Lonchura striata: one gene and its partners. The protein of the gene in region 3 interacts with the protein of the main gene of each other region in a pairwise test. Links are inferred from orthologs where the notes say so. Each region holds a gene or a part of one and is shown on either strand. Other genes may lie near its edges. The genes, in order: LYAR, PTMS, SDCBP2 and ZCCHC17.

Evidence for each region.
Region 1: the proteins of SDCBP2 (region 3) and LYAR interact in binary tests that used the Homo sapiens proteins (3 or more experiments, as listed by UniProt). The two-hybrid records come from large-scale screens. The link is inferred for Lonchura striata from reciprocal best matches to the Homo sapiens genes SDCBP2 and LYAR.
Region 2: the proteins of SDCBP2 (region 3) and PTMS interact in a two-hybrid assay, tested with the Homo sapiens proteins (2 studies listed by BioGRID and IntAct). The two-hybrid records come from large-scale screens. The link is inferred for Lonchura striata from reciprocal best matches to the Homo sapiens genes SDCBP2 and PTMS.
Region 4: the proteins of SDCBP2 (region 3) and ZCCHC17 interact in binary tests that used the Homo sapiens proteins (3 or more experiments, as listed by UniProt). The two-hybrid records come from large-scale screens. The link is inferred for Lonchura striata from reciprocal best matches to the Homo sapiens genes SDCBP2 and ZCCHC17.

The regions. Positions count from the first base shown.
Region 1 is NC_134606.1:13,227,550-13,235,495, forward strand, and holds the start of LYAR (cell growth-regulating nucleolar protein), read left to right. Parts: upstream 1-4,934; 5' UTR 4,935-5,003; intron 5,004-5,723; 5' UTR 5,724-5,769; coding exon 5,770-5,891; intron 5,892-6,200; coding exon 6,201-6,315; intron 6,316-7,946. Other genes in the region: ZBTB49 (zinc finger and BTB domain-containing protein 49), read right to left, coding at 328-1,424, 3,347-3,498. UniProt on the Homo sapiens protein: Plays a role in the maintenance of the appropriate processing of 47S/45S pre-rRNA to 32S/30S pre-rRNAs and their subsequent processing to produce 18S and 28S rRNAs. Also acts at the level of transcription regulation.
Region 2 is NC_134604.1:29,639,274-29,646,718, forward strand, and holds PTMS (parathymosin), read left to right. Parts: upstream 1-4,432; 5' UTR 4,433-4,798; coding exon 4,799-4,846; intron 4,847-5,602; coding exon 5,603-5,674; intron 5,675-6,344; coding exon 6,345-6,426; intron 6,427-6,574; coding exon 6,575-6,639; intron 6,640-7,262; coding exon 7,263-7,313; 3' UTR 7,314-7,421; downstream 7,422-7,445.
Region 3 is NC_134619.1:7,351,854-7,359,241, forward strand, and holds SDCBP2 (syntenin-2), read left to right. Parts: upstream 1-4,385; 5' UTR 4,386-4,637; coding exon 4,638-4,691; intron 4,692-4,810; coding exon 4,811-4,935; intron 4,936-5,107; coding exon 5,108-5,234; intron 5,235-5,402; coding exon 5,403-5,564; intron 5,565-5,798; coding exon 5,799-5,974; intron 5,975-6,041; coding exon 6,042-6,213; intron 6,214-6,338; coding exon 6,339-6,430; intron 6,431-6,513; coding exon 6,514-6,568; 3' UTR 6,569-6,953; downstream 6,954-7,388.
Region 4 is NC_134628.1:6,740,163-6,747,985, reverse strand, and holds the start of ZCCHC17 (zinc finger CCHC domain-containing protein 17), read left to right. Parts: upstream 1-4,814; 5' UTR 4,815-4,937; intron 4,938-5,048; 5' UTR 5,049-5,114; coding exon 5,115-5,156; intron 5,157-7,143; coding exon 7,144-7,201; intron 7,202-7,823. Other genes in the region: SNRNP40 (U5 small nuclear ribonucleoprotein 40 kDa protein), read right to left, coding at 1,009-1,131, 1,833-1,998, 2,893-2,986, 3,483-3,612, 4,356-4,571.

The DNA of each region.
Region 1 (7,946 bases), on a different chromosome or scaffold from region 3:
CATCTAAATGCAGGACAAAACCAAAATTTTCATTGAAATTTCATTTTCATCAAAATCACATGATGTTCTTTGAGAAAGTACCCAGAACTCCAAATACATAGGAAATGTATTTGAGATGAAAAATACAATCTTTTCTACAACTTTCTTTTAAAACTTGGTATTACAATTCTTTATTTCTGTAGGATTATCCATAAAAAAAAAACCAAACCAACCACCAACAAAACAAACCACAGCCTTTTAACCAGCATCTCTAAATCAAGAGACACTGCAAGATATTCTCTATAACTGAAATATTTGTTCTGCAGACCAAGTAACTGATAACTGTACCTGTATGAGACCTTTTATGTAGCTCCAAATTGCTTGGATGTTTGAAAGCCTTCCCACATAATTCACAAGTATATTGTTTCTGTGACTGAAGAGTCTGTGATTGTCCTTCTTGTTCCAAAGGACCTTGAGATCTTTCCACTTCAACAGTTTGTTCAAAATTCTCTGAATTCACCAAATCTTCAGCTTCTTTTTCATCAGTAACTCTAACATCTGTTGTGTCCGTAGTACTTTCATTTACAGGTTCAATTACTTCTGTTATTCTACTGTCATCTCTTTGGGGCTCAGGGGGCTGCTCTGCTGATTTCTGAGATCTTAGAAAATTTAACTTTTTGAGGTGTACTGCCTTTTTCAGCCGCATCTGTCTGGTGGGCTGCATAACTGCGCTCTCTGCGTTTTGGTCTGGAGCAGCTTCACTTGCAGACTGAACCAGGAAGTTTGATGGTAAATGCTCAGAGGTTTCCAGGATACACTCAGAGTGATTGACAGTGCAAGAATTATTCTCCACTGTGTTTATTTCTGTGGATGTGCTGTAAGAAAAGGATGGTTCTGCTCCTCTCTCGTGATCAGAGCAAGCGTTTTGTTTATAGAACTGTTTGCTGTAAAAGTTGCGTAGTTTATAGTAGTAATTTGGTTGTTTAAATGGGAGCTCTGTGCAGTTGCCATCTAAGGAATCTTGTGGTGCTTTCTGTCCATCACCTGACGGGGTGTGCAGATTAACAGACTGAGAGTGCTGCTCAGCCAAGACTTTGTTAGTTTGTCTGTCAGCTGAGCACTCAGGCAGTAGGTTTGTCCCATAGCTGTCACTGGCACAGCTGGTATCCGTCCCCAAAGTGTTCTGCAGTGAAAATACACTGCTACACGGCATGCTGGCTGCCTGTTCCACAGCTGTGGAAGACTTTAAAAAGGTGTGGCAAATGTTCAGCACATTTTGCACTTGGAGGCACTGTGCAATGTCCAGCATAGCTTGTACATTGTCCTGACTGAGATCCAGGTGGGAGGTGTACATGAAGTCCAGGATCTGGCCTATGCCACCTACATTTTTGATGTCCAAGTGAAACACATCATTCTTCTGGCCTGAAGAATTCTGGAAAAGGGTCCTGATAAAATAAGGCAAATATTCAAATACAAACACAAATAATTCACAAACACTTCAATAAGAAAAACATACATACAACTCAAATAGGCTACTAGTATGAAACAAGTTTGTACTCTTCTAAAGATTGCTGTCTTTTTGATGATGAATTTCTCAAAACTGCTCAATTACTTGTTTTATATATTAGTCCTGCATTAGTGCACTTGAAATATAAATCAAAGTAAATTATCTTTTATCTAACTTTAATCCTGTATTTATGTTTTCAAATAACACCCTACGCTTGTGGTTTCTTATCCACTGTTCTTCACATATTAGATGCAGTGTTGTATTTATGGACAATTTGCAGAACCGATTGACTCAGAATGGTTTTTCTCCTTTCATCATGACAGATCAAACAGGACATAAATTTTCTAGCAAAAGGGAGAAGATAGACCTCAAAGTCAGCTAAACTCTTCTCCTCTGGCAACTGAACTGGTCCATTGAACTCCATCAGTAAGCCTATCAAAGTTCTTAGCATTAGTTATTTCTGCACAAACACACAAGAAAATGGCAATATTAAACAAGAAGATGGTATTATTTTCAATTTATTTTCTCATATAAAATATACTTTTTTTTCTGGTACTGGATGAGAACCAAGTAAAAGAATAATGAAGAGTACAGGTACATAATCCTAAAACAGCAGTGCAACCAATACCCACTGAACTTCACTGAATCCTTATAATGAATGAACTCACAAAAGTTCTTAGTATTTGATGTTAAATATTCTCAGCATCAGAGATGCGGTTCTTCACATGCACAAGCAGTCCTAGATTAAGTGGGTTCATACTCTCTCTCAGTCATAAACTTTATACCATTAAAATCCCAAACTTAATGATTCCTTTTTGTGGGCTAAATCTCAAATTTGGGTTTGTTTAAAGGAAGGCATGATATCAATGAGCTCTGAATCTTAAGAAAATGTGAGCCTATGCTGAAACTTTAGAAATGCAGGGAATACTGTGAAGCCAGTGCCCACATCCAAATTCCTTCATAAATCTATACCATCCTATCAAAATTAAAACTGGAACTATAATGAACAGATCTGGGCTGAGAGTCTAAATTAATTAGGCACTCATATCCTATTGAATTTTAATACGAGTTGAGCTGTTAGTTCTTTTTAACTACTTTAAAAATTTGGTCTTTGAACATAATTGCACTTCATCAGCGGTACAGCACTAGAGGAGAAAAAGGAACCTCTTATCTTTTTTCCCTGGTCATAACATAAAAATAGGTTTCTTGCAATTAAATTAGCAGTGAAGTTTTAGAGATGTTTCAAAAGACTAGGTCTAAAAACTGCCAGATCTAACAGCTTACTCATAACTAATATAAAATACTAAGCTGGGAGATCCAGCATCCTCCAAAACTTGGAGGCACAATTGAGGGCAGTACAGAAGAGTAAGAAAGCATGATGTGGTGTAATGGGCCACCTGTATACTTTAAAACACAGCTATTGTCTCTGAGAATCTGAATAAGCAGAGATTCACTAATAACCTATATGGTCACATTTTATTTAGCATATGATTGATGAAACAAGTCCTATTACTTGGAAATGGGTTTTATCAGTTATTCTTCTTATCTGGTTCTGTTCATATACTCTACTAAGTTCCTTGTAAGCAGTTATCTTTTTCTAGTGAAATACTGAAAACAGGTCCATGCCAGAATTATTACATGAAGGACTATAAGCAAGTAATTCAAGAAAATGTCAAAATCAAAGAGCATGCTGTGAATACTGGACACAGCTTTTTCTCTGGACAAGCAATCTCCCTTTTCTCCTTATACTCCCAACAGTTCCTCAGTCTGCAACCAACAGAAAAAAATACCCTTCTCAGAGAAACCTCAGCCAACAGCATTTAGTTAACTTTTTAAAGAGAAGAATTTTCTTTCACATACCTGAAATATTGACTGAAAGCAGCTAACACATTTTTGTGTGCTTTGAAGCAGACACCCTTCACCACCAGCATGCAGTCACAGAGAAGCCCCTGAATGCGCTGTTCATGTAGCTGCTGCAGAAGATGACAGCTGTGGCTAGCAACAGTGTCCATGCTAGAAAATCATTAAATTACCTATAATGAGATAAAATGCTAAGGTGAATATTAAATTGCAAAATTAATTTAAAACATTAAGAACATTTTTACAATTTGCTTTAGCTTTCAAAGGAAGCAGACTTCAGTTTACACCTCCAATTTGATCGCTAATAACATTTTTCTGGTTAAAGATGAGTCACAATATTGTTCACCAACAGATACACAGCAATACACATATGAAACAGTGATTTTTAAGAGAGATTTGTTTATAACAGAGCATCTGCAAAAATCTAATGGTGCTGCCAATAAACTGAACTCCATAACCACAAAAAAATGCACCTCAATTTAGACAACTTCCACAATAATTAAGAGTCTAATGCAAAAACACATTGCATGTACAAAATCAGTAGCATTTGTAGAGGAAAGCCTCAGTTTCTTCATCCTTTAAACTCAAAAGGGAAAACTAGTATTATTTCAGGCATTTGTTGCTGTTCTAGCTACATACATTTCTACAATGTATCTGATTAATTAGACACATTAACATGGTATTGTTCTTAATACAATGTAAAATCTAAATGAAAAAGTCCCCTCTTTAGAGGTTGAATAGACAAGTCACATTCCAACACAACACATTTACATTGAATTCTATACTTCCTTTTCCCCACCCCCTCCAACAACGATGCAACACTTCCCCTGTGCGCTTGTAAACATGACAGTTCCAACTATTAGGACAATCTGAATTTCTAGTCTTCTAACTAGGAGAAAAACCTTCCTATTCTAAGGAATGAAGCAGGAAAACCACCTTTTAAGCATGACCAGATAGTGACTGCCCCATTCTCAAATCTCATGAACAATAAGGGTTCCACATTAATTTATCCTGATGTGCCCTGTCTCTGGCTGTATTACACTGGGAGGGGGGGGTGGTAGGGGTTACTACATTGTGCTTTTTCTCTATTAATGCTTATCATACTTTGACCAGGATTTAAAATAAAGGAACCACGTTAACAGGCTTTTCCTGTGAACATTTCCCACCGCGGCATCCTGCAATCACTTTGCCAGTGAAGTGTCTCTCATCCAGGGGCCGGGCACCGCGGCAGCCGCTCCGGCACAGCCGCTGTTCGGAGCTAAGCTCGCCTCGGCCAGGCTGGAGGAGCGGCACGGGGGAGAGGACAGGGGAGGGTCTGGTCGCCGCGGGCCGCTCTGCCCGGGGACAGCGCGGCGAGCGGCCGGTGCGGGCTGGGGGACGCAGCCCCGGGCAGCGGGAAACGCGCCGCGGCCCCAGGGCAGCAACCGGCCCGGCCCTGCGCTTACCGGCTCCGGCCTCCTCCCAGCTCCATCCCCGCCAGCGGCCGCTTCCGCCGCCGCGCCCTCCCCTTCCCCTTCCCCTTCCCGTTCCCGTTCCCGTTCCCGTTCCCGTTCCCGTTCCGGTGCGCGGGGCGGGGGCAGCGGGGGCAGCGCAGGCGCGGGCGGCGGGGGCCGGAGCGGGCGGTGCGGCGCGTGCCGCGCGGGCGGCGGCCGCTGAGGTGCGGGGGAGCGAGAGCGGGGGCGGCTCGGCTCGGCTCGGCTCGGCTCGGCTCGGCTCGGCTCGGCTCGGCTCGGCACGGCAGCAGCCGGCTGCCGCACAGGAGCGCGGGTGGCGGCCACGCCGGGCTTCCCACGCCGTGCGGCCCGGCCACCTCTCAGCGCTGCCGCGCGGCGGGGCACGGCCGAGAGGGGTCTGCAGCTGCGGGGAGCGGGATGGAGCGGCGGGGTCCCGCACGGGAGGGGAGGGGACCGGGAACGGCCCTGCGCGACGTATCCGCGCTGGGGCCGTACAGGCGACACCGGTTCCGCCGTTGGGGTGGCGGGTGCAGGGGTTACAGGTGTTCGGGTGATGGGTTCGGGGGTTACCCGTTCCTGGCTCGGGTGATGGGTTCGGGGGTTACCCGTTCCTGGCTCGGGTGATGGGTTCGGGGGTTACCCGTTCCTGGCTCGGGTGATGGGTTCGGGGGTTACCCGTTCCTGGTTCGGGTGATGGGTTCGGGGTCGCTGGTTCCCTGTTGGGGTGGCGGGTGCAGGGATTGTGGTTCCCGGGGTGCTGATCTCCCCTGCGCTCAGGGAGGGACTCGGGTGGAACGAGCTCTGACACGTGCAGCAGCGGGCTGCGCACCCTGTCTGTCAGTGGGTGCACGGCTGTGTTTCGCTTCGGCCCTCCAAGTGTTTCTTTCAAGCTATAAATTAAGATCTTCTTCTTGTATTCCTAGAGTTGCGTTTTTGTGGGAAGGAAGAGGCTCCTGACCACTTGCCAACATGGTAGTTTTCACATGCAATGCGTGTGGAGAAGCTGTGAAGAAAGCACAGGTTGAAAAGCATGTGAACATCTGCAGAAAGTGTCAGTGCCTGTCTTGCATGGATTGTGGCAAGGATTTCTGGTATGTAAAGAATGGGAAATAGCTTTGCTCACTCTACAGACTTACTTCCTCACTCTTGTCACAAATATAATTGATGCAAGTCAGAAACTTTCACTGAAAGCTGTAAGCATGACAGAAATGCCTGTGGTCTTACAAGCATTTACTTTAAGCACATCACATTTTTATAATTTAAGAGTTGACAGTAATAGGGTTTAAATGATCTGTTAATTTAAATTATCTATTACTTAATCTTGTTGGTTGGCTAAGTGTTGCATAGTTTGAAGAGTGAAGCATTTCAATGACCTGTGGTTAAAAATCTCTTATATTCAGGGGTGATGACTATAAAGAACACGTGAAGTGTGTAAGTGAAGACCAGAAATATGGTGGGAAAGGCTTTGAAGCCAAAACGAACAAAGGAGATGCTAAACAGCAGGAGTGGATTCAGGTATGTTTTTTATTGTGTGCACCTACAGTAACTATTGTCTGTAATTATCAAAGACAGAAAAGAGCCTATACTAGCTCAAGCCAGAGATCTGTTTTTATCAATATCCCCGGCTGTCTTCTGACATTTCCTTGACAGGTGTGTGTTTATCTCTTAAGAAAAGTGTCTTGTTTTGAATATGTCTCTTACTAGTTTGACTTAGTGTAATGTTCCCATCTGTATACAAAGAGACATTGGTAGTTGTCCCTCCTTTTCATGCCATTTATGCTTTTGTAGACCTCTGTCAGGCATCCCTCCCCATCTCATATTCTTTGTTCAAGGCTCAAAAATCCTGCCCTACTCAGTTGTTCTGCATATGTAAATTATATCTTTGGTCTTCTAAAATCTTCCCACTGTACTGTATGTTTGTGAAGTGCTGTTCAAGATATAAGAGAACCATAGATTTACCACGTGTCACAATTATGTTTTCTGTGTCCTTTATTCCTTTCTAACTGTTTTTGTCAGTTAATCTACTTTTGTGTGGTTTTTTAATTCGGTTTTTATACACCGCTGCTGGTCATTGTGCTGGCATTTTCATGGAATTGGCTATTTTGACCCTGAGATACTGTATCTAAGCTCCAATGGTCAACTAAAGCCTGCCATTTTAGATCTGAAATTAAGATTGCTTTTCCTTTTCTTCTGGCTTTATGTGAAGTTGTGTTGACTGTATTTCACTTTTTTATTACCTAGTCACTCATTTTCTTAAGATCTTTCTGGAATCCTCATAGTCCTCATCCTGAATAGCTCAATATCATTGGGTTATTTTCATTTTCCATCCTCTTGTCAGATATTTTGTAAGTATGTAAATTAATATGTAAATTTGTCAGCTGTTTTGTAAATATGTTGAACAGGAGAAGCTCCAGCATGGATAGAAATATCTCGTACTCTTTCTGTCTTACACAAGAATCTACCCTCTTATGGCTTTCATTCAAGGGTTTTTGGAAGGACCTCAAACTCATTTAAAACTCCATTAGTAGTAGGTTAGATCACATTTATGCATGGAAATTGTTGCTTTCTATCATGTAGAACACATTCTAAGAAGGTTCTAAGCTGCATGCATACTTGAAGCATATGATGAATACCATTAAAGTCAGAGATGAGTGCTCTTGTTGAGATTGAACACTCAAACGTTTGAGGACATTTGTAAAGGCAGTATGACATGAGTGTTGTTGCTTGTGAGCATTGGTAGCCTGCCTCAATAGTAAATGATTCTTATGTAGAAGGATGAGAGATTATGACCAGACACCTTTTTCTGATAGTCTTAACATATTCACAAAGCCTTTCAGTCACCAGATCTTCAGAAGTACAGGAAAGCTCTGCAGTGTCCACTGGCTGCACTCTCTAAGTCCTGGGAAGCCCAGAGCTTTTTTCCCCCCACAAGCAGCAGTGCTGTTCAAGGGGCTGCCATGAGAGCCTGGTCTAATCTCTCTTCTCTCATGCTGACACCCATAGCACAGGAATATCCAGAGCTGTCATACAGGATAAATGCTTGTTGAAGCTGGCACTGCTGCCAGAAGAAATGCATGTCAGCTGTGGCATCAAAAGTAAGCCTGATTTTTCATAATTAATTCCAAAACCAAAGTTGCTTTTCTTAA
Region 2 (7,445 bases), on a different chromosome or scaffold from region 3:
CGCCGCAGAGGAGCCCCGTGGACGTCTGGAAGACAAAGAAAACCTCGTTACCAGAAGTCAGAGCTACCCACAGCCATTTCCTCATTGGTTCCCTTCATCTGTGCCTCTTACGTAATCCTCACCCAACAACTGACTCTGACCTCAGATGAAGGGCACCCCGAGTGAAGGACAGCTCTGATTTGATCCTCAAATGGGAAAAATCATATTCGGGATGCTACAGCCAGCTTGTGGTGGCTGCAGCTTGCGTTGCGTGGCAGCGATTACTTTCAGAATATTTTGCTCGTGTTAAGAGTGTGTCTGTCACACTGTGAGTGAGAACCACGACCTCCCATCTGTGCTGCGTTAGCAAAGACAGGCTCACAAAAAAATCACGATTGAAAACATCCCTCCTCTTTCCAGTCTTCTGACAGGCTGTGTCACCCCTTGTCATTCCCTTCTACTCCTCTTGCTTCTTCTCCTTGTTTTACCTACCCTGCTTCCCAGCCCTCCTGCAGGGCTTATTTAAATATGCTGCCTCTCAGGAAGCCATTTCCCAATGCAAAGTTGGCCGGTGGTTGAATTCTTGGGTCTTTCCTCTTAACTTCACTATATGGCATAGCGGAAGAAGAACAAAGCGGATTATCTGCTGGGATTTTTAGTGGACACAGTACAGAAAGATGAACAGCGTGACTTAAATACATAAATGCATTCAAGCAGATTCCCTCTGCACACTGAGATTTTGCTACTTTTGCTGTACGTGAAAGGACAGATATTCTGCATTTATGTAAATCTAAGAAAATTTAATGCAAATACACATCCTTCTGCTCTTTTGTTATTCAGCAAACAGTTTGGAACCACTTAGGAGTTAGCTCAGTAAATATAATTCTTAAAATACCCAGTTTTTGTGTTTTGCTTTTGCTCAGAAAATGGCTCGCAGTTAGTTCAGCCTTCAAAATAAACACAAAAGTCACCATCCCCTCTGCCCCCATCAGAACATAGTGGCATGACTAGCAAGGTAATAGACCAAAATGCATAAATAATTGCTTCTAGGTGCATTCACCCCACATTTGCTGGGAGAAGAAAAATAGATACCACGCATGAAAGCCCTAACACATCTCAACCACGTGCTCACGTATGTTGGCAAATGCCTGCAAGCTCAAGGCACACCTCAGTAGAAAAGTACCATACTTTCTACACTCACAAAAGTAAAAGAATGTAACAGGGGGAAAATATCCCCTCTGTACACAACCAGGTATGTACTGCACCTAAACACATGCGCACACCTACATAAACACCAAGCACAAACAGGGTACAGTACCAAAATTGTGACACTGCACGGAGAAAATTACATTCCCATTGTTGTCTGGGCTGCAGGCAGACACGGAGAGTGTCTGTTCCACACAATGATCTGTCATGTAACTTCTGCACCTCCCTCATTTTGTCTAAGGACATAAGTCTCCAAAAAGGATGGAATATGTTCTGCTGAGTTGGCAAAGCAACTACAGACAAAGACTACGGAACGCACTGAGCAGAGACTGACATCTGCAGAGCTCACAATGAGTGTACTTGCATTTGCAGCAGAGGGGAAGGCACAGATGGGAGAGAGGAGCAGAGAAAAGCTGCAGATCAATCTGGCAGGCGAAATGCAGAGTGGCACAGATCAGGTGGAGGAGCAGAAGTCACAGGGAAGAGCTAGGTGAGACAGTCAGTGGATATCCTCAGGGCTTGAGGGAGGCAGCTGCACACTAGAAGCCCAGCAAATCTCACTACCAGGATCCAAAGGGCAAGAAGAGTCAGAATGCAGAAACAGGCAGATGACAAGGAATGAAGAAGAATTTAATGTTGGATTTAAGGGGAAAAGCATAGTTGATACAATAATGCAGGGCAAAATGGGACATGAAAAACAAAGGAGGGGATGTGAAATGAATTTTGCATGTAAGATACAGGATGTCACAAAGAGAAGCCGGGGAGAGGGCCATGGGGAGAGTGCTGCCAAGAACACAGGTAGGAGACAAATGCCAAGAAGCAGCAGATGAGGGAAAAATTGCAAAGGGGATGGGGTGGGGAGCATGGAAGTGACAATGTGAAGTTGCACACTGCAGGTGCTGGGGAGGAAAGGAGAGCTTGCTGCTGCCATGCCAGTTTGTAGTTGACCCATGCTGACCCAACAGCGCCATCCCACAGGTAGCTGGAAACAAGCTCCCCTTGCACAAACAGGTGTTTGTCAATTTGCATCTGTGGGTTCGCAGCCTGTGTGAACATGGAGCTTTGGGCACGGGAACATCCCTGAACGTAATCCTTTGCTTTCTCCCCTCTAGGATGTTGTGTCAAGGCCTGTTTGTGCATTAATGTGAAGATGTCTTTGCCAAGGGATATGTGTCAATGTAATTATGTGTTTTCAGTGGTTGAGTGTGTAAAGGAAGAGGATCCTGGAAAATAAATTCTGGGTTGGTGAGGAGAACAGCAGAGCAATGAGCCACGCACCTTCTGTCAAGCAGAAAGCAGAGAGGAACACCATCCGGCCCCTATATAGATTACTTTGGGTCCTGTTTTAGGTGTATATCTAGAAATTAAGATTTTCTTCTTGTGAAAGGGAAGGATGAAAGAGGAGTACTTGTACCAAACCAGGGCTGGAATGCTGATAGCAGCTAGACCTGAGAAATTGGCCAGATCGGTTTTGTGAAACAGTAGGGGAAAAAAATTAGTGCACGCATTTTCATAATTTGGTTTATTTTGGTACTAGTCTAGATGTGTGCATGTGAGTTACAGGACTGTTTTTTGGAGCAGGCACTCTGCACTGTGTATAGCTGTGAAGAACGTCAATTAGTCAGATCATGAGAGAAGCAGCTGTAGCTGTGGAGGAGACGAGACAACAAGCTGGGTAGCTTCTACCTCCCTGTCACACAGATTATAATTTATCCAATATCTTTCCTACTTTCCTTCAGGAGATACATACTCAGGGCCCTATGTTCCACAAATACGAATGGCTTTTGCTGTTAAATGCTCGAACTGAGACACATTCAATTAAACTCAAGAGCACCCGCTCTAAATCCTGACTTTGCAGGGAGGCTGAGTTTGTATCTGAAGGACAAGAAGGGCTTGCGTACCTCAATACATTTTCCAACCAGACGGATTAATAACCTTGCCTTGTACCTGTGAGAATGACTGCGTACACGTGTACCTCTGTATGCGCTCATGTGCACGCGTAGTTCTGTATGTACGTAGGCCCGCAAATGCATGCGGATTTATTTTCTTTTTTCTTTTGTACGAGCCTGTGACTAAGAGCGGGACAATATAAACCTTGTGGGAAAGGTGAAGGCAATTTAGTCATCCCAGTCTGCTCAACCTGGTAACCAAAGGACTGAAGAGCGGCTGCAGGAACATCTCTTTTATTAGCAACAAATCCCTGCAGTTGCAAGTCACCACCTGCGGTTCTGCAGGACCTTTGGCTACAGGGATACCCGGTGCTGAGCGATGATCCTTCCCAGCCCGGAAGGAGGCACTGGCAGGATGTCTGCCACAGTCAGGCCTGAGGCGGGAGGCAGGGAACGGTGTCGCACACCATGTGCTGCCCGGCCGGTGGCCGGGATGTGGGTCCCGGGCGGGTGGGCAGCAGGGATCGGTGTCGCACACCGTGTGCCGGGATGTGGGTCCCGGGCGGGTGGGCAGCAGGGATCGGTGTCGCACACCGTGTGCCGGGATGTGGGTCCCGGGCGGGTGGGCAGCAGGGATCGGTGTCGCACACCGTGTGCCGGGATGTGGGTCCCGGGCGGGTGGGCAGCAGGGATCGGTGTCGCACACCGTGTGCCGGGATGTGGGTCCCGGGCGGGTGGGAGCCGAGCCCGGCGGGACAACGCCCGCGCCCTCGCGCGCCGTCCCGCCGCCCCACGTGCCAGCGCCCCTCCCGCCTCGCACTGCACCAAAGGGCCCCGCGCCCCCGCCCCGCCGGCGCGCCGGCCGCCGCCAGCCAATGGGAAACCTGTTGCCAGGCAGAGAGCTCATTTGAATGGCCCAATCAGGCGCCCCAGCCCCAGCCCCTCCTTATATGGGGAGCGGGGTAGGCGAGCGCTAATCCGCTCCCGCGCCGCCTGCCCCGCCCACTCCCTCCGCCGCGCGCAGAGCGCGGGAAAAGCGGCCAGCGCCGGGCGGGCAGGCGGGGGGAGAAGAAGGGGAGGGGCGGGAGGAGCCCCGCCGCTGGGAGCGCTTCCAGCGGGAGGAAGGGCGGGCAGCTGGAGTGGAAAATTCCAGGCAGGAGGCCGCGTGTCGCCAGCGCTGCCCTCCCACACGGCCCCGCAGCGCCGCTTCTCGCCTCCCCCGGATTCCTCCTGGAGAGCCAGCCAGCTCGTACGGGCGGCTCCCCGGGCGTGCTGCGGCCGGAGGGCTCGGCTGCCCTCGCCGGACGCTTCCCGTCGGAGCCGCGGCACCTGGGCGCGGAGCGGGGCTTTCGGCTATCCTCGACGGGGCCGTGCGGCGTCTTGCGGGGAACCCGCGGTGCGCCCCCGCTGCCGGGCGGCCGCGGCTGAGCGCACATTGTTCTAGCAGCCCGTCCCTCTCCCCTCCCTCCTCCGCCTCCCGTCCCTCTCTCCTCCCTCCCCAGGTCCCTCCTTCCCTCGTCACCGGCGCTGTATAAATCCCCTGCCCCGGCGGATCCCCCCACCGCGGGAGACCCTGGTACTTTGGCCCCCGGGGCGGGATCCTGCCGCCGCCTGCGGACCGCTGGGACTTTGCGCTCCCGCCGCTGACCCCCTTCTCGCTCCCTCCCTCCCTCCCCCGCACGCTTCCCACCGGCCTCTCCCCTTCGCAACCCCGGGGGGCCAGGATGTCGGAAAAACGCGTTGAGGAGGCACCGGCGGAGCTGAGCGCTAAGGTGAGACACCTCCTACCCCCCACCACCACCATCACCCCGCTCCCCTCTTCCCATCTTCGGAACCGGCCGCGTTCCCGGGAACGGGGGGGGGGGGGCTCAGTGAGGTGCCCCGGCGGCGGGGGGCGCGCGCGCGCGCGCCGCCCGGCCAATGGGGGGGCGGGGGCGGGGCGGGGGGCGCGAGGGCCCTCGCGCCCCCCGCCCCGCCCCCGCCCCCCCATTGGCCGGGCGGCGCGAGCGGCGCGCGCTGGCTTCGGCTCCGCTCGGCCCCGCTTCGGCCCCGCTTCGGCCCCGCTTCGGCTCCGCTCGGCCCCGCTTCGGCTCCGCTCGGCCCCGCTCGGAGCCGGGCGGGGGGTGGTGGTGGTGGGGGGGAAAGTTGTGGGCACAAAGCGCGGGCCCTGGGATGGCGGGGGAAGGAGGAGGGAGGGGTGGAATGGAGAGGAGAGAGAGGTCCGGAAACGCCTCGATCCTACGGACGATGTCGCCCTCTTTTTTTTTTTTTTTTTTAATAAATCGTTCAAACTCTTCCGTGCCGCTTCTGTTTTCCACACGCGTGTGCGCGGGCTAAAAGTAGCTGTGACGCGCGTTCGCTGCTGTTTTCCTTTGTCGGGCGGGCGGATTTAACGCCTAATATGTCTCCTCGCCCGCTATTCCGCCTCTCCTCCGAGCCGTCTTTGTTTAGGCATCCCCATCTTTTATTGCCGCTGACCGCCGGAATGTTGTTGGTTTTCTCCCCCCCGCACCTCATTTCATATATAGGAAAGGAAAGAAAAGAAGGAAAAGGTCGAAGAGAAAGCCATCCACAAAGAAAAGAAGAAGGAGATAGTAGAGGTGAGGCTCTTCTGAGGGACAGATTTGGCGACGTCGGGGAGGTTTTCGTACTGTGGGTAGCAAATGTGAAGGGAATATGGGAGATTAAGAAAGGGAGCACCAGCCTAGAGGTAGAGTAAGCTCTTGGATAATTGTGGAGAATGAGCCTTGAAGGACTTAGTGTAGTCAGCACAGCCCATCAGGGAGGAAAAAAAGGTCAAACGGAGCCAGGAACAAGTGGGAGAATGTGGCACGGGAGATGTGGTCCTGCGCCCACTGGGGTACCCTGAGGTGCACAAGGAGCATGTGTTGGAGAAGCTGGGGGGAGGAACTGTGAGGAAACACACACAGATTGATGGGGATCTCGAAACAGATGTACCATGAGCCTCGGCTGTCATTAGCCTGTAATCAGAGATGCTTTGGTTGTTGGGAGGGATGGCAGCAGCTCCTCAGGATGTAAGCTCGTGGGAGACGAGCTGCGTGTTGCTGGGGATGGACTGGAAGGATTGGCTTCGTGAAGGAAGGCTGGTTGGGAGAAGTGTACATCCACAGTGGCAGGAATAATGATGTCGGAGTAACAATGCACACCTGGAGTGGCTGGAGCTCTGAAATTTGTTGTGCTTGTAGCAAAGAGCACGTGGAAATGTTATCCTGGCATCAGTTTCTGCTCTGACCGATTTGTTTTATCCAGGATGAGGAAAATGGAGCTGATGAGGATGATGAAGAGAATCCTGATGATGTAGATGAAGAAGAAGGTGGTGATGAGGATGAAGGTAGGGGAAATTAGATGAATAGGAGGCTGCAGAGGAATAGAGGATTGTGGAGGGAAATTCCCTCTGTGAGCCCTCTTGACTGTGAGATTATATTCCCTGAATGCTGCTTCAGTTTATCCTGTGATTTTCCTTTCTTGCATGTGCTTAGAAGCAGATGAGAATGGGCAGGAGCAGGATGGCCACGCAGAGAAACGATCTGCAGAGGAGGAGGAGGTGAGTAGTAGTGTGAGAATAATGGTGGGGTGAAGGAATGAGGCTACTTGCTGTTTGTTGATCCAATCATGTGGATGCTGCTGCTGAGAATCTCAAATTGGCCTCTGGTCTCATTGCTTCAGGAGCAGACGGGTAAACAAATCTGATGTGGCAAGGGGATAGTAAATCACTGTATGCTCCTTGTAGGATCTAGGGCCTTCCACCAGCAGTCGAGGTGCTGGAGGTTGTGCTTGGCAGTGACCTCTGAACTACCTGTGTCTTCTGGGCTTCAGGCCAGGAGATAGAGTTGTAAGGGTGCGGTGATTGAAGGGTCTGATCTTCCACATTAAGGGCAGGCCCTGAGGTCTGTGTGGAGTGGTGTGAGCCTCAGCTTCTTACACCTCCTGGAAGTAACAGCCATGGGTGTGGTGTCCCTCTGAATGGAACTGTCCACATCTTTACCACAACCAACAGAACAGCTGTGTCAGGCACTCCAGGGTGTTTTAGAGGGGAGTGGATTTAGGGTGGGCCTAACAGAGGTTTCCATATGGAGGAAAGAGCAGCAGTTACACGAGTTTTGTGGAGAATTATGTACCTCGGGGTGGTGACTGATGGTAACTCTTTCCTCCCCATGGCTGATGCAGGATGAAGTGGATCCAAAGAGACAGAAGACAGAAAACGGCTCTTCAGCTTGAATCCTCCCCTCCCATCTCCCCTGTTCCGCCCATCTCTCCTCCTCCATTCCAGCCTGTGCTTGCACTGCCCGTTAGCCTCTGGCTTCACACAATCTCAGATGAGGAAAGATTAGAAATGCTCTCAAACAGGGA
Region 3 (7,388 bases):
TCGGGTAAGGAGGAGCAATTTCTGTCAGGGACTGAGGACAGCTCAGGGCCCCTGTATACCTTGGGACTGTGTGGTGAGGTGGGATGGAGGCAAGGGGGGAGTGGGCAGTAATGGGGAATATGAGAAAAACAGGGCAGATCTCTGTGGGTAAAAGTTGTTCTTGGGAATCTGGTGAGCTGGGGTTCTGCTCACTACAGTGCTACATGCAAAGTTCCCAGCCTGGCAGAGCAGGTTGATGTCATGGAGGTGTTGCAGTGCCAGTTCTTTGTGCCGTGGGTTCTGAGTGTTGTTGCTGCGCCAAGGGGGCTCGGTTGCCACACCCCCTCCTGACTCATGCTGTCCCAGCAAGGGGCTGATGGTGTGGGCAGGAGGCAGTGACTATGACCCAAGGGTTGGAGCACTTACGGTGTGGAGACAGCCTGAGAGCTGGAGTTGCTCAGCCTAGAGAAGAGAAGGCTCTGGGAAAACCTTGGAGCACCTTTCAGAGCATAAAGGGGCTCCTAAAGGAGCTCCAAGAAGTCCTGGAGATGGACTTCACACAAGGGCCTGAAGTGACAGGGCAAGGCAGAACAGCTTCACAGTGACAGAGGGCAAGGTTAGATTAGTATTAGGGAGAAATTCTTCCCTGTGAGACTGGACGGGCCCTGGCACAGGCTGTCCCATCCCTGGAAGTGTCCAAAGCCAGGTTGGATGGGGCTTGAAGCAGCTAGACTAGTGGACAGTGTGCCTACCTGTGCCAGGAGGCTGAAACAAGATGGGTCTTTAAGGTCCCTTCCAACCTAGCCCATTCTGGGATTCTGTGGGGCTCTGCTCTGGGGTGTGGGGTCCCCATGGTGTGGGCAGAGTGGGGCTGTGCTCCCCCTGCAATCAAGGCTTGACTGCTGCTCTGAGGACCTTGTGTGGTTTGTGTGGAGGCTATTGTGCCTGGGCAGCTTGTCTTTGTCCAGCTCACACTGCCTCTCCTCTGTCCACACAGGTTTGGCACATGGAGGAATCCAGAATCTCAGCTTCAAGAAGAGTGCACATGACTTTGTACGGAGCTTTTCCTGATAGTCCACTACACTCATTGTATAACCTTACACCTTGATTGAATGCCTTTGGTCACTAAGCTTTGCGTCTGACTCTTCCTCCTTGTATCGTGTTTTTATGTCTTTTTAAACTATACACCGTAAACCTCAACTCTTTTTGGGTCAAGTTCTTAATCTTATTTTTGTTCCAGGTGTAGACTACGTTTTCCCAGTAGCACGCAGATGGGCTGACCTTAGATAGGAGTCATTTGAAGAAAAGGAATCCTGTTAGTTACTAGTTTTGGTGCAGATGTATGGTGTTTCCAAACCAGAAATTGCTGCTGCTGCAAAAGCCATAGGAGAGTGAGGTTGTCGAGGCTGAAGGGATGCAGAGAGCAAGGTAGCACTAGGATTGTTTATAGGAATTTTGCCTGGAGTGGGACAGCGAGGGAGCCTGGCCTTTCCCTGCTCCCCAGGGAGCATCACTGCGGGTATTGTGGGTTTGCTCTGGGAAAGGAGGGCTGCTCTGCCCCTGCTTCACCCTGCCATCTCATGGTGGGCCTGCCTTCCCCTCCAGACCACTTTTGGATTTAGGGAGTTGGGTTTCCACCAGAGCTCCGCCACACCCTGAAAATCCCATAGCATGGAGCTTTCTTTAAAGAAAAAGGAAAACTGGACAAAGGGAAGGTGCTGTCTGCAGGGGAGGTGGTGGGGGCTCAACTCAACAAAAACTCTGTCCTCCTCCTCCCCCGTGGAAAGGAACCATCAGCTCCCTATTGTCCCTGCTCTGAGCACACCTGCCCATTCTCTCCTGCCACCTGATGCTGGTCATCGCTGCTTGCCTGGTGTCCCAGGACGCATAGCTGTCCCCTGTGCCCCTCCCTCTGCCCTGCCCAGTCCGTTGGTAACAGAAATTCCCGCCGGTCACTTCCTTCTCCGCCGCACAAAGGTATCCAGTTTATTATCGCAATAAAAACGCTTGATGCTGGCTTTTCTCAGCCCTGTGTCCTGGAGGTTCTTCCCTCGCCCGTCTGTCGCTCAGCACAGCAGGGGCTGGGCTGGGCTCAGGGGGTGCTGTGTGGGGTGCTGTGGGTGCTGCTCTGGGCTTGTGGGGTGCTTTGGGTGCAGTGCCAGGGTTGTTCTGCTGTGCCTTAGTGTGAGGCTCAGGTGCTCGGCCCTGGGAGCACATTAAGATGCCTGGGGCTCCTGTGCTCTGTGGACAGGTGATGGTGGCCTGCTGGTATTTGCATAATTCATTGCCTCACCATAACCTGTTAAGTGTTGCCCTCACAACCTCATGCCCTTGTGGCTGTGACTCAGCCTGGACTGGAAGCATGAAGGATACATGGATGCATGTTCCCATGGTCCTTGCAGCTTCAGGGAAGCCTTTCCTTGCACCTTTCTGGATTTATTTCAGTCCTTTTTGAAAGCTGGACATGGCATGTGGGGCACAGCACATCACCTGCTTTGGGCTTTGCTGCTGCAGCTGTGGGTGTTGTGTGTGTAGGATGTGCTCAGGCACCACCATGGGCCAGTGCCTGGCTCCTCTGCTGACAACCTTTGATCAGTGTGCCACAACTGATAACACAGCCATGATCAATACCAGCCTGTCCCAGCTGCCAAGCAAAGTTTGTGTGTAATGGGTCCTGGAGGGAGCAGTGCCCTGGGGCAGGAGCAGCTCAGCCATTGGTACTTGCACAGGGCCGTGCAGGAATTAGAACTGCCTTGAATTGTGGCTCAGCTAAGCAGGACAGGAGCTTGTGGGGCACCAGCACCCTGCTCTGTCCTTTGCTGTGGCTGTTTCTGGGTGGAAGCTTGAGGCCAGTTTGCATTTCTCTTCCTGCAAAGCTTTTTGCTTTAATTATTAACCAGTGCCAGACAGCGATGGCTTCTGGCTGGGGCTAAGCCAGGGCAGGGGGGAGGCTGAGGGACGCCCCCTGCCCTTGGGCCCTCAGCCCCTGCACAGCTCCTGAAGCATCCATGAGTGCAGGTGGGGTGGGAGTCCTTACAGCCGTGGTTTTGTGGGGATGAGGGTTTCAGGAAATGAACAGGCTCCAGGAAACAATCTCCTCTGTAGGACTCTCTCTGCCGTTGGCATTCAGGCTGTTCTTGTCCTGGGCTGGTCAAGGCAGCTGGGCACCATCCAGCTAAAAATAACAGCAGTAAATAAAACACTTCCTCCTGGCCTGGCACGCCGGAGCGGAGGCACAGGGAGCTGGGACAGGCCTGGCTGCGGCTCCGCACTGGGACTGGCCCCGTGCCGGGGAGATGTGGGCTGGTGCCACCAGGTCCAGGCCTGCCCAAGTGCCCTCAGCACCCCCCTGCCCAGCCCCTGGGGACACGGTGCTGACAGCAGAATGTCACCGCTGGCTGCTGCAGGGCTGGATCCCCAGGTGACACGGTGATGGCCCATGGCAGCAGGATGCCACGGCCACCCCATGCTGAGCTCGGTGCCGGCTCAGTTTCTCCACCTGCAGCATGGGACTCCCACGCCTGGCACGTGTCCCAGGTGACGGCTGGGAGGGTGTGGGACACGGGATCCCGGTCACGGCCGCGTCAGCCCCACGCGCCAGGGCAGCGAGGTGTCAGCAGGAGCCACCACCCACGCAGGGGATCACGGTGGGGAACCCCCTTCACCCCCCAGCAGGGCCTGTGGAGCCCAGGAAGGATAATGGGGAGGGGGAGCCCAGTCAGGGGCCAAGCCACCTGCTGGGGGTGGCAGGAGAGGTGATGCAATTGGGGGGGGCACCATGTAGGGGTACAGTCCCATCCCTGCTCCCACAGGATGCCCAAAGCTACAGAAAGCCATCCCAGTCCCCATTCCAGTCTCTGTCCCATCCCTGCCGTGCCAGGGCTCTGTGCATTGTTGCCTTCATCTTCCTCTTCCTCACCTGTGCCCTACCTGGCGGGGGTGCAATCAGCTGAGGCTGTCTGGCCCCACCCTGGGCTGGGCCTGGCTATAAAACCCAGGGGCCAGGCAGAGGGTGTCACAAGGATCTGGGAGCTGCTGGCAGGTGAGTCCAGGGGTGCCAGGGCTGGACTTGGGGGCTCTTGTCTGTTGGATGCTGCTGCTACCCGTGGGCTGCAGGTGGGATCCTGCCTGGTTCCCGCAGGGCTCAGAGCTGGGTCTGGATTTGGTCCCTACACAAGGAGTTTTGGATTATGCTTTTTGGGGCACAAGATGCCACAGAGTGGGTTTGGGGGGCACAGCCTTGGGCACAGCATGAGGTGCAGAGGGGGCTGCTGGTGTGTACAAGGGCTGTTCCCATGGGACATCTCCCTGCTGTGTCTGGGTAATGCTGGAACGGCCCCACTGGCCATGGGGAGCAGAGGGGTCTGATGAGGGGCAAGGGGCCATTCCCATGGGATATCCCACTCCCCTGTCTGGGTGGTGTTGGGAATGCTCTGTGGGGCAGGTGGATATGGGGAGCAGGAGCTGCCCGGCACACAGCCATCCATGTCCCAGCCACCAGGAAGTGGCGGTGGTGGTGACCCTGGTGACATAGCCTTGAGTCACACTGGAAACTCCAGGTGACAGCCCATCTCCGGTACACGGGCTGGGAGGGATGCTTGGAGAGAGGCAACTCAGTCCTTGAACCTCCCTGTCCCTGTCCCCAGACAGCAGCAACGATGGCAACACTCTACCCCTCCCTGGAGGACATGAAGGGCCACCAGGTCCTGCAGGTCAGTGCCAATTCAGCAGTGTGACAGGGGGTGAGCAGACCCCAATGGGTCCCTGTGGGGTCTCACCAGAGGGTCCCCAGGGTGGGGGGCACAGCACTGAGCACCCTGTCTCTTGGCAGGCGCAGGCAGCAGCCGGGGTGAGGACCCCTGCCACCACAGTGGTCACAGAGAAGCCAAAGCTCACCTCAGGCACTGGTAAGGAGGGACATGATCAGCTCACGCTGTGTAGGGGCTGTCTGGGTCGGCAATGATGCTCAATTTGGGGAAGGGGCGAGTGGCTCAGCTGAGACCCCCCCACAACTCAGTGCATGGGTTGGGGATGGGATTCTGGGGTCTCTTTTTACTGGGCCATGGTCCCAGGGGGCTCCTGGGATGGAGGGGGCAATGGCTGTGGGTTGTGGGCCCCGGGAGCTGAGACCACCCTTGGTACGTCCCTCAGAGCCTCCTGTGCTGTACCCCAACCTAGCCGAGCTGGAGAACTACATGGGGCTGGCGCTCTCCAGCGAGGAGATCCAGAAGAACCTGCGCACCGAGGACAGCACCGTAGGTGTCTGGGCTGGCAGCTCCCTGCCCCATGTGGCTCCCCGTGCCATAACGGGGATCCCTCTGGCTCCTCATCCTGCCTGAGAGAGGCATGCAGCACTCCCAAGGGCTGAGGTGCACCGGGCCCTGTGTCCCCCCTGTCCCCACTGACCCCCAGCTCCCCCGCAGGCACTGACCCCCGTCGGGCCCTCCCCAGGCCAGCTGGTCGCCCCCCTGAGCGGGAACAGCGCGGGGCTGCGGCGGGCAGAGATCAAGCCGGGGGTGCGGGAGATCCACCTCTGCAAGGACGAGCGGGGCAAGACGGGGCTGCAGCTGAAGAACGTGGACCAGGTGAGGGGCCGGGATGGCATGGGGCTGGCATGGCACGGGACCGTGTCATGGCATGATGTGACATGGCACAAGCATGACAGTAGAGCACAGCGTGCCATAGCAGCGTGTCATGGCACGGCAGCGTGTGGCATTAAATGTCACGGCATACAGCAGGGTGCAGATGGCATGGCATGGCATACCCTGGTGCACGGCATGGCCACTGATCCCTGTGCCACCATTCTGCTGTGTCCCCAGGGCATCTTCGTGCAGCTGGTGAAGGCCAACTCGCCAGCAGCGCTGGTGGGGCTGCGCTTCGGGGACCAGGTGCTGCAGATTGACGGCAAGAACTGCGCGGGCTGGAGCAGTGACAAGGCACAGCGCGCGCTGAAGAAGGCAAACCCCGAAAAAATCGTCATGGTGGTGCGGGACAGGTGAGCGGGTGGTGGCACCGTGCTGGTGGCAGTGCCGGTGGCAGCACTGAGGGTGCTCTCCCCACAGGCCTTTCCAGCGCACCGTGACCGTGCACAAGGACAGCACCGGCCACATTGGCATCGTGGTGAAGAAGGGGAAGATTGTGTCCCTGGCCAAGGACAGCTCGGCCGCCCGCAACGGGCTCCTCACCCACCACTGCATCTGCGAGGTGAACGGCCAGAACGTCATCGGCATGAAGGTAGGGCTGTGCCCTGGTGGTGCAGGACATGCCTGGGGAGTCCAGGATGCGGCCAGAGAATCCAGGAGGGAGGGGGATACTGAGCAAAGCTGGGCACCCCATGGAGTCCCTTCTTTCTCCTGCAGGATAAGCAGCTCACGGAGGTGCTGGCAGGGGCTGGGAATGTGGTGACACTGACCATCATCCCCACTGTGATCTACGAGCACATGGTCAAACGGTGAGAATGTGGGGCTGCAAGGACCCCCACACCCCAAGGGGACCCCTGAGTTCCCCCCACTGACCTCCCTTCTCTCTGATCAGGCTCTCATCAGGACTGGTGAAGTCGTCCATGGACCACTCCATCCCTGACCTGTGACACCATCGCTGCTGTTCTGGGAGCTGATGCTGGAAGCCCAGAGGGCCTGCTGAGAGGACCCCACAGCACCTCCAAAGGAGCTGTTTTAGCACAAAACCCCTTATCCCATCAGAGTCTGGTGGCTGCTGGGTGGTTCCTCCTCTCCTCAGCAAGGATGGGGCAGATGTCCTGTACCAGCATCCCACTGTCCCCGTGTCCCTGCTTAGGCCACCCCCCTCAGGGCGGATGCCAAGGGCTGGCTCCAGCCGAAGCAGACACAGACCCAGCGACATTTATTACATCCACCACAGAGAGCAAGTACAGGACAGGGGAAACAAGAAGAGGGGGGTTACAGCTTTTTCAGTTCTGTATTTAAAAAATATATTATATAGATTTGTCTTTCAAATATAGTTGTTACATTTATTACTTGGCAAAGCTTTGGATAGCCTAACAGACGTGTACACAGATCCACAAATACATTGCACAAGAGGCGAATATCCCAGCTCCGCTTACATCTGCCCCGGCTGCCTGGACACTGCTGCTCCCCACATCCATTCCCTGGCACCTGGTGCTGTGCTGGTGGCAGAGCTGCTGTCCCCACTGCCCCCCAGCACAGGCAGAGCCAGCAGAAGGGGGATGCAGGGAACTGTGGGGCACACAGGATGTCGCACGTGCCCCTCTGGGGACCACTGGACATCGGCGTGTGGAGCATCACCATGCCAGGGCAACTGGCTGGTGGCACCCACAGGTGGGGGAGTGGGCTTGGGTTGGGGTTGGGGGAAACACTGTTAGTTCAAGTCACGAAGAAACCACAGACATTCGTGGGGTGGGAGTGCGGCGC
Region 4 (7,823 bases), on a different chromosome or scaffold from region 3:
CCAGGGGTTCTTCCCAACGAGGGGCAGTGGGAGCAGCTCTGGTGGCAGTGCCACACTGAGCTCTGGCTATGACAGGCTGGGGACAGCCCTGGTGGCAGTGCCACACACAGCACTGGCTGTGACAGGCTGGGGACAGCCCTGGTGGCAGTGCCACACACAGCACTGGCTGTGACAGGCTGGGGACAGCCCTGGTGGCAGTGCCACACACAGCACTGGCTGTGACAGGCTGGGGACAGCCCTGGTGGCAGTGCCACACACAGCACTGGCTGTGACAGGCTGGGGACAGCTCTGGTGGCAGTGCCACACTGAGCTCTGACTGTGACAGGCTGGGGACAGCTCTGGTGGCAGTGCCACACTGAGCTCTGGCTGTGACAGGCTGGGGACAGCTCTGGTGGCAGTGCCACACACAGCACTGGCTGTGACAGGCTGGGGACAGCCCTGGTGGCAGCACCACACTGAGCTCTGGCTGTGACAGGCTGGGGACAGCTCTGGCAGGTTGATGACAGCCCTGGTGGCAGTGCCACACAGCACTGGCTGTGACAGGCTGGGGACAGGCCAGAGCAGGGCTGAGGGCATGGGGACAGCCAGAGCCCCGCAGCCCCCAGGGCAATCAGCTGAGCTCACTGTTAAAAAAGAACTTTCCACAGCATCAGGTGCCAGGGGCAGCTGCAGACTGGGGCAGAGGGCACAGAGGGGACGTGTCACCACGTTCTCTTCAGCTCACCTCACAGCTGGCTCTGTCCCAGGCTGCCAGCACAGCCAGCATTCCACACTGGCTCCCGGGTGACAGCAGTGCTGGGACACCCGAGTGCCAGGCTGTCCCTGCCAGGCTGTCACAGCTCCATGCCACTTTATTGGCTCTGTACCACCAGCAGAGATGGACACAGCAGGTCCAGGGGGGTTGGGATGTAAAATTCAGCAGGTGGCACCCAAGGCTGTCCTTGACCAACACAGGGTGTGACAGGATGGAAAAGGTGGGCACAGGGGGAAAGGGACACAGGGTCCTACCTTGATGTCATTGTCGATGCCTCCAGAGATGATCTGGTCACTGGTGTCATTGAAGGTGACAGCCAGGACCTGGTAGGTGTTCTGGAATGTCTGGACAGCAGCTTTTTTCCTGATATCCCACAGCTGGAAAGAAAAGTGGCACTTATAAGAGGTGTGCACAACAAAATCACTGCAGAGATATTGGCAGGGACTCAGCCTGTTCTCCTGAAATCCATTTGTAGGTCTCATGAAAAACATCAGATCTGGAGATCTTTATAAAAAACACTGAATCTGCTGTGTCTGGAGCACAGGAATGAAGGCAAGGAAGAAGGGGCCAGCCCAGATTCCAGGAATAGTTTTCTCATGCTTTGCTAATCCATAAAGAAACTGTCATTTCTGTTTTTCTGTCCAGAAAGAACTCTTTGGACCTCCAAGGATGGGGACTCCAAACCTCCCTGGGCAGTTCCAAGGCCTGAGCCCTCTTTCCATGGGGAAATTCCTGCTGCTGCCACCCTGAGCCTGCCCTGGCCCAGCCTGAGGCCGTTCCCTCTCCTCCTGTCCCTGTTCCCTGGAGCGGAGCCTGACCCCCTGGCTGTCCCCTCCTGGCAGGAGCTGTGCAGAGCCACAGCAGCAGAAAAATCCCAGCTGAGCAGCTCAAGCTTCCCAAACCCCCTGAGAAACACAGAAAAAACAGAGCAGTGAAATTTGCTGTCACATTTTTGCCTCTGAACTCAGAGCGCTAACGAAACGAGTACCAAAAGGCTGAAATCAGCCCAGATAAAGGGGAAGATCCTAAAAGCTTCTCCACCTTTTTTCCCTAGGCTTTGCCCAGGGCACACACTGACCTTGACAGTGCCATCGTCGCTGCCCGTGCAGACGAGCTGGGGGCCCCTCCGGGCAGGGTAGCAGGAGTTGACAAAGGACGTGTGGCCCTTGAGCCTCTTGACCCTCTCGCCCGTCTCGCTGTCCCACACAGCCACGGTTTTGTCCGTGGATGCTGAGAAGAGCATGCTGCAGGAACAACCACTGTGAGGGCCCAGCTCCCTTCCCAGTTCCTTTCAGGAACAACCTCCCCTGTTGGTGTTTTGGAGGCGCCTGAAACACTGACTGACACTGGAACAGCTGCATGGATAAACTCCCCTTAATCCCTGCTGTGAATGGTTTTGCTGCCTCCTCAAGCAGCATCTAGGATGAGCACAGCTCAGCAAAGCTCAGCAGCAATGGTGGAACAGCCTTTTAAATTAACCAGTATCTCACTTGCTCTGTCTCCCTCCCCAGTGACTCCCGGGCACCCAACACAAACTTCCCTCTGTGCCCCAAAACTGCATCAATGGCACTGGGGGGGGTCACAGGTGCCCCCAGATCCTTTGCCCACACTACAAGGACTTGGTGTCCATGGACTGAGCACAGGTGACAACCCCAGAATCATTTAGGTTGGAAAAGAGCTCCAAGAACATAAAATCCAAGCTGTGCCTGGTCCCCACCTTGTCCCCAGTCCAGAGCTCTGACTGCCGCCTCAGGGATGGGCACTCCAAACCCCCTGGGCAGTTCCAAGGCCTGAGCCCCTTTCCATGGGGAAATTCCTGCTGCTGCCACCCTGAGCCTGCCCTGGCCCAGCCTGAGGCCGTTCCCTCTCCTCCTGTCCCTGTTCCTGGAGCAGAGCCCGACCCCCCGGCTGTCCCCTCCTGGCAGGAGCTGTGCAGAGCCACAAGGTCCCCTGAGCCTCCTCTTCTCCAGGCTGAGCCCCTTCCCAGCTCCCTCAGGGATTCTCCAGCCCCTTCCCAGCCCCCTCAGCCCCTCCTGGGGCTCCAGCCCCTTCTCAGCTCCCTCAGCCTCTCCTGGGGCTCCAGCCCTGTTCCCTGAGCTGCAGTGAGTCCCTGAGCAGCACAGAGCCCCTGCCCTCACCTGCCATCCGTGTTGTAGTGCAGCTCCATGACAGCCCCGCTGTGTCCCTTCAGGGTGGCAAAGTTGTCACAGTCCCCGTAGACGTTCCAGAGCACTGGGGGACAGCAAGGGACAGGTGAGCACAGGAAAGGCTCGGGAACAGCCCCTGCTGTGCATGGAGCTGATCTTTGGGGATTCAGCAAAGTGGGGATGGACCAGCCCCACTGCTGAGTCCCAGCTGGGACAACTCACAGCAGTGACAAAGCATCGTGTGAGCCCCAGGGCAGAGCAGCTTTAGGGAGCTTGGTTAAGGTGAGTTTATTATGAACAATTATAATTTTTGCCTCAGGAAGCCTAAGCATTAAAACTGCATTTCTGCAGACCTCTGGAAGCCGTGTGCCAGGGACACAGGGCGGTCACAGCTGGCACCCAGCAAGGCACTTTTCCAGCACCATCAGGATGGCACCTGCCAGAGCAGCTGGGAAAAGCTTCCTGCACCCCCATGGGGGAGCAATTCACACCCAGAACCCAGCCAGGTGAGGGCTGAGCTAAAACCCCCCAGCAACAGGGCCTGAGCCCGGGGGACAGCAGGGGACAGCAGTGCCACTCACAGATGAGCCTGTCGAAGCCAGCTGAGGCCAGGGTGTTGCCATTGGGATGGAACTTGCAGCAGTAAACCTCCCCCTCGTGTCCTGACAGCAGCATGATGGGGGCCTGCAGCGAGGAACAGCGCGGGGGGCCCTGGGGGACACCGAGACACCGTGAGGGGACAAGGGGCAAGGCCAGCCTGCCACCCCTGCCGAGCATCTTCACCTTCCCACAGCACATCCCACCAGAATTCCAGCATTACTGAGGCTGGAAAAGAGCTCCAAGGTCATTGAGGCAACCTGGTCCCCAGCTTATCCCCAGCCCAGAGCTCTGAGTGCCACATCCAGGACGTTCCTTGGACACCTCCAGGGATGGCACTCCAAACCTCCCTGGGCAGTTCCAAGGCCAAGGGTGGGCAGCAGCAGGAATTTCCCCATGGAAAGGGGGGGGTCACCCTTTCCATGGGGAAATTCCTGCTGCTGCCACCCTGAGCCTGCCCTGGCCCAGCCTGAGGCCGTTCCCTCTCCTCCTGTCCCTGTTCCTGGAGCAGAGCCCGACCCCCCGGCTGTCCCCTCCTGTCAGGAGCTGTGCAGAGCCACAAGGTCCCCCTGAGCCTCCTTTTCTCCAGGCTGAGCCCCTTCCCAGCTCCCTCAGGGATTCTCCAGCCCCTTCCCAGCCCCCTCAGCCTCTCCTGGGGCTCAGTTCCCTTCCCAGCTCCGTTCCGCGGACAGGCCCCAGCCGAGGGCCTAGAACCTAACACAGGTGCCTCAGCAGTGTCCAGCCCACCACGCTCGTGGCCCTTCCCTGCTCCTGGAACCACGCCTGGCCTCTCCTGTCCCCTCACCTCCCGTCCCACCCCGATCTCCTCCCACCCTCCCCTCACGTTCCCCCGTTACCGCCTGCAGCAGAGCTCCGGCCGCGGGCTGTCCCCCCGCGCCGCCCGTGCCCGGCGCCCCGGGCAGGTCATGGCGGGGCCGCTTGGCGGGCGCGGGGACGAGCGGGAGGTCGGGGCCGGGCGCGGGGGCGGCGGCGGGGCCGGTGGGGCCCGGGGGGGCGGCAGGACCGGGCCCGGGCGCGGGGCCCGGCGCCTTCCGCTTCTGCTGCTCGATCATGGCGGCCGCCGCGCCCCGCCCCCCGCGCCCCATTGGCTGTCGCTGCCGCGGCCGCCGCGCTGATTGGCGGAGCGCCGGGCAGGTCCCACCCCCCGACGCTGCGCCGAGGATGGAGCGGGGAGCGCGGCGCCTTCTGGCGCGCTTCGCTCTGATTGGAGGAAAGCGGTCGCTGGGTGGTATGGGTAACGCTGATTGGCTGCGGGACCATCCCACGGCAACATTGCGCGCTGTGATTGGCGAGGAGCGTGGCCCCTCAGCGTGAGGGGGTGATGGCGGCGCGCTGGTGTTGCTGCCGCGGGTGCTGACGAGCCCCCACCGCCCCGCGGGCTCCGGGAGGAGCCGTCCTGTCCCTCTGCGCCGGTCCAGGTCAGTCCTTCACCGCAGCACTGCGGGTCCAATCCCCGCGCCCCTCAAGGCGCTGAACCCCGGGTGCTCTCTGGGGCTTTTCGGGCGTTAATGAAATTTTTCTTTCCTCAGCATCCTGCAGAGGAGATGCGGTAGCGAGGGTGAATCCAGCTGGCTGTCACGGCGCCTCGGGAGGCGATGGAGCCGCTTCCCGAGCTCTACTCCATCTTCCAGGGCGAGGTGCGGCACGGCTGGCGCGGCCCGGGCCAAGCTCGGGGGGAATTCATTCCGTGGGTTCGGTCGGGATAGCGCGGGGGAGCTCTGGGGATGCACAGCTCTGTCCAGGTGCACAACCTGTGTCCGGGGGCTGTTCATGTGCAGCTGCGGGGGCAGCCGAGGAGAGGCAGTTCCGACCTCTTCTGTCACTGGGTTCCCCACCCTCAGAGCTCGGAATTCCAACAGGAGCAGCACCTGGAGCTGCTGGAGAGAGCCCAGAGGGATCCACGGAGCTGCTGCAGGGCTGGAGCCCCTCTGGAGCCAGGCTGGAGAGCTGGGGGTGCTCCCTGGAGAGGAGAAGCTCCAGGGAGAGCTCAGAGCCCCTGCAGGGCCTGGAGGGGCTCCAGGAGAGCTGGAGAGGGACTGGGGACAAGGATGGAGGGACAGGAGCCAGGGAATGGCTCCCACTGCCAGAGGGCAGGGCTGGGTGGGAGATTGGGAATTGGGAATTGTTCCCTGGCAGGGTGGGAGGGGCTGGGCTGGAATTCCCAGAGCAGCTGTGGCTGCCCCTGGATCCCTGGCAGTGCCCAAGGCCAGGCTGGACACTGGGAGCACCTGGGACAGTGGGAGGGGTCCCTGGGCTGGGATGAGATTCCCTCCCACCCAAACCACTCTGGGATTCAGATTCCTAAATCAAGGATGAGAACCAGGACCAAAAATCATTGCACCAGAGGGATAAAGGAAAGGAAATAATGATTTCCTGGATGGTTCCAGGTGCACCCAGTGCTGTTCCCCACTGGAAAATGCAGGGGGGGTTTGTAGCCTGGCAGGGCTTGTGGAAAGGTTTGGGCTCTTCCTGGTGCCACTGCCAGAGGGCAGGGCTGTGTGTGGCAGCAGCTCTGTGCCCACAGAGGGAAACACGGCATTCCCAGGCATTGTGCTGGGCAAGGCTGTGAGAAGAGCAGAGAAACAATTCTTATCTTCACTTGCTGCACCTGGTGTTGTGAACATGTAGAATGTGTTATGGGGATTTATTTACCAAGGGGTGGTTTCTTAATTAGCCAGTAGTGATAGTGGTTTGATTAGAGGAGCAATTAAGTCTAGCTGTATTGTAACTGTCTATAAAAGTGGGGGGGTTTCTTAAAAAAGATAGATATTGATCAACCTTCTTGAATCATGGAATCAATGCTAATTATCGCCCAGCCAGGGGCCTGTTACCATGACAGGGATGGATGGGATTTTGGGAATTGGGAATTGTTCCCTGGGAGGCTGGGCTGGAATTCCCAGAGCAGCTGTGGCTGCCCCTGGATCCCTGGCAGTGCCCAAGGCCAGGCTGGACACTGGGGCTGGAGCACCTGGGACAGTGGGGGTGGCACTGGGTGGGATTTAATGTCCCTCCTGCCCAGCCATGGCTGATTCTGTGCCCATCTCCACACGTGGAGCTGGGCACTCTCCTCTGTGTGGGAGGGGATTCCTGCAGCTCTGCTGTGATTTCTCCCCCTTTGGGAAGGGATTCCTGCAGCTCTGCTGTGATTTCTCCCCCTTTGGGAAGGGATTCCTGCAGCTCTGCTGTGATTTTTCCCTCTTTGGGAAGGGATTCCTGCAGCTCTGCTGTGATTTCTCCCCTCTTTGGGAATTGATTCCTGCAGCTCTGTTATGATTTCTCCCCTCTTTGGGAATTGATTCCTGCAGCTCTGCTGTGATTTCTCCCCCTTTGGGAAGGGATTCCTGCAGCTCTGTTATGATTTCTCCCCTCTTTGGGAATTGATTCCTGCAGCTCTGCTGTGATTTTTCCCTCTTTGGGAGGGGATTCCTGCAGCTCTGCTGTGATTTCTCCCCCTTTGGGAAGGGATTCCTGCAGCTCTGCTGTGATTTCTCCCCTCTTTGGGAAGGGATTCCTGCAGCTCTGCTGTGATTTCTCCCCCTTTGGGAAGGGATTCCTGCAGCTCTGCTGTGATTTCTCCCCCTTTGGGAAGGGATTCCTGCAGCTCTGCTCTGATTTTCTCCCCAGGTTGCTGCAGTGACGGATTTTGGGGCCTTTATCAGAATCCCTGGCTGCAGGAAACAAGGTTGGTGTCCCTGGAGCTGTTTTATGGAGCTGTGGCCAGGGCAAGCAGCCGCCTCACAATTAAAAACTTCCAGAAAAAAAATCAGAAAAGGAGTTTTTTCCTAAATGAGGAAGAAATTTGGGAAGCATTTAGAAGATGATGGACTGTAGAATGATTACCAAGAATGACTCAAAGGACTTTTTTGTAACTTAAGGATATTTTGTGGTGGGTTTTGGGGAAATTCTGGAACTTAAATAATAATAGTAATAGTAATAATAGTAATAATAAGTATAGTAACAATATGTATTGTATTTTACTATATATGTTATATAGAAGGTATATATAACATATATAACAGTAGATGGGTTATAATATATTTTATTATATATAAAATATAAAAGATACATATATAATATATATATTATAGGGTATATAATTGTATATACTATAGATAAAATATATAACCAAATATATAATATTATAATGTATATTATTGTATATATAATATGTAATATATATTTGATACATCTATTACTGTATATATATTATATATATAGGATATATTCCTATATTTATTAGAATATATAATTTATTAACATCTGCAGCTTTACTGGTGGTAGCTGCAGTATAAAACAATAACCAA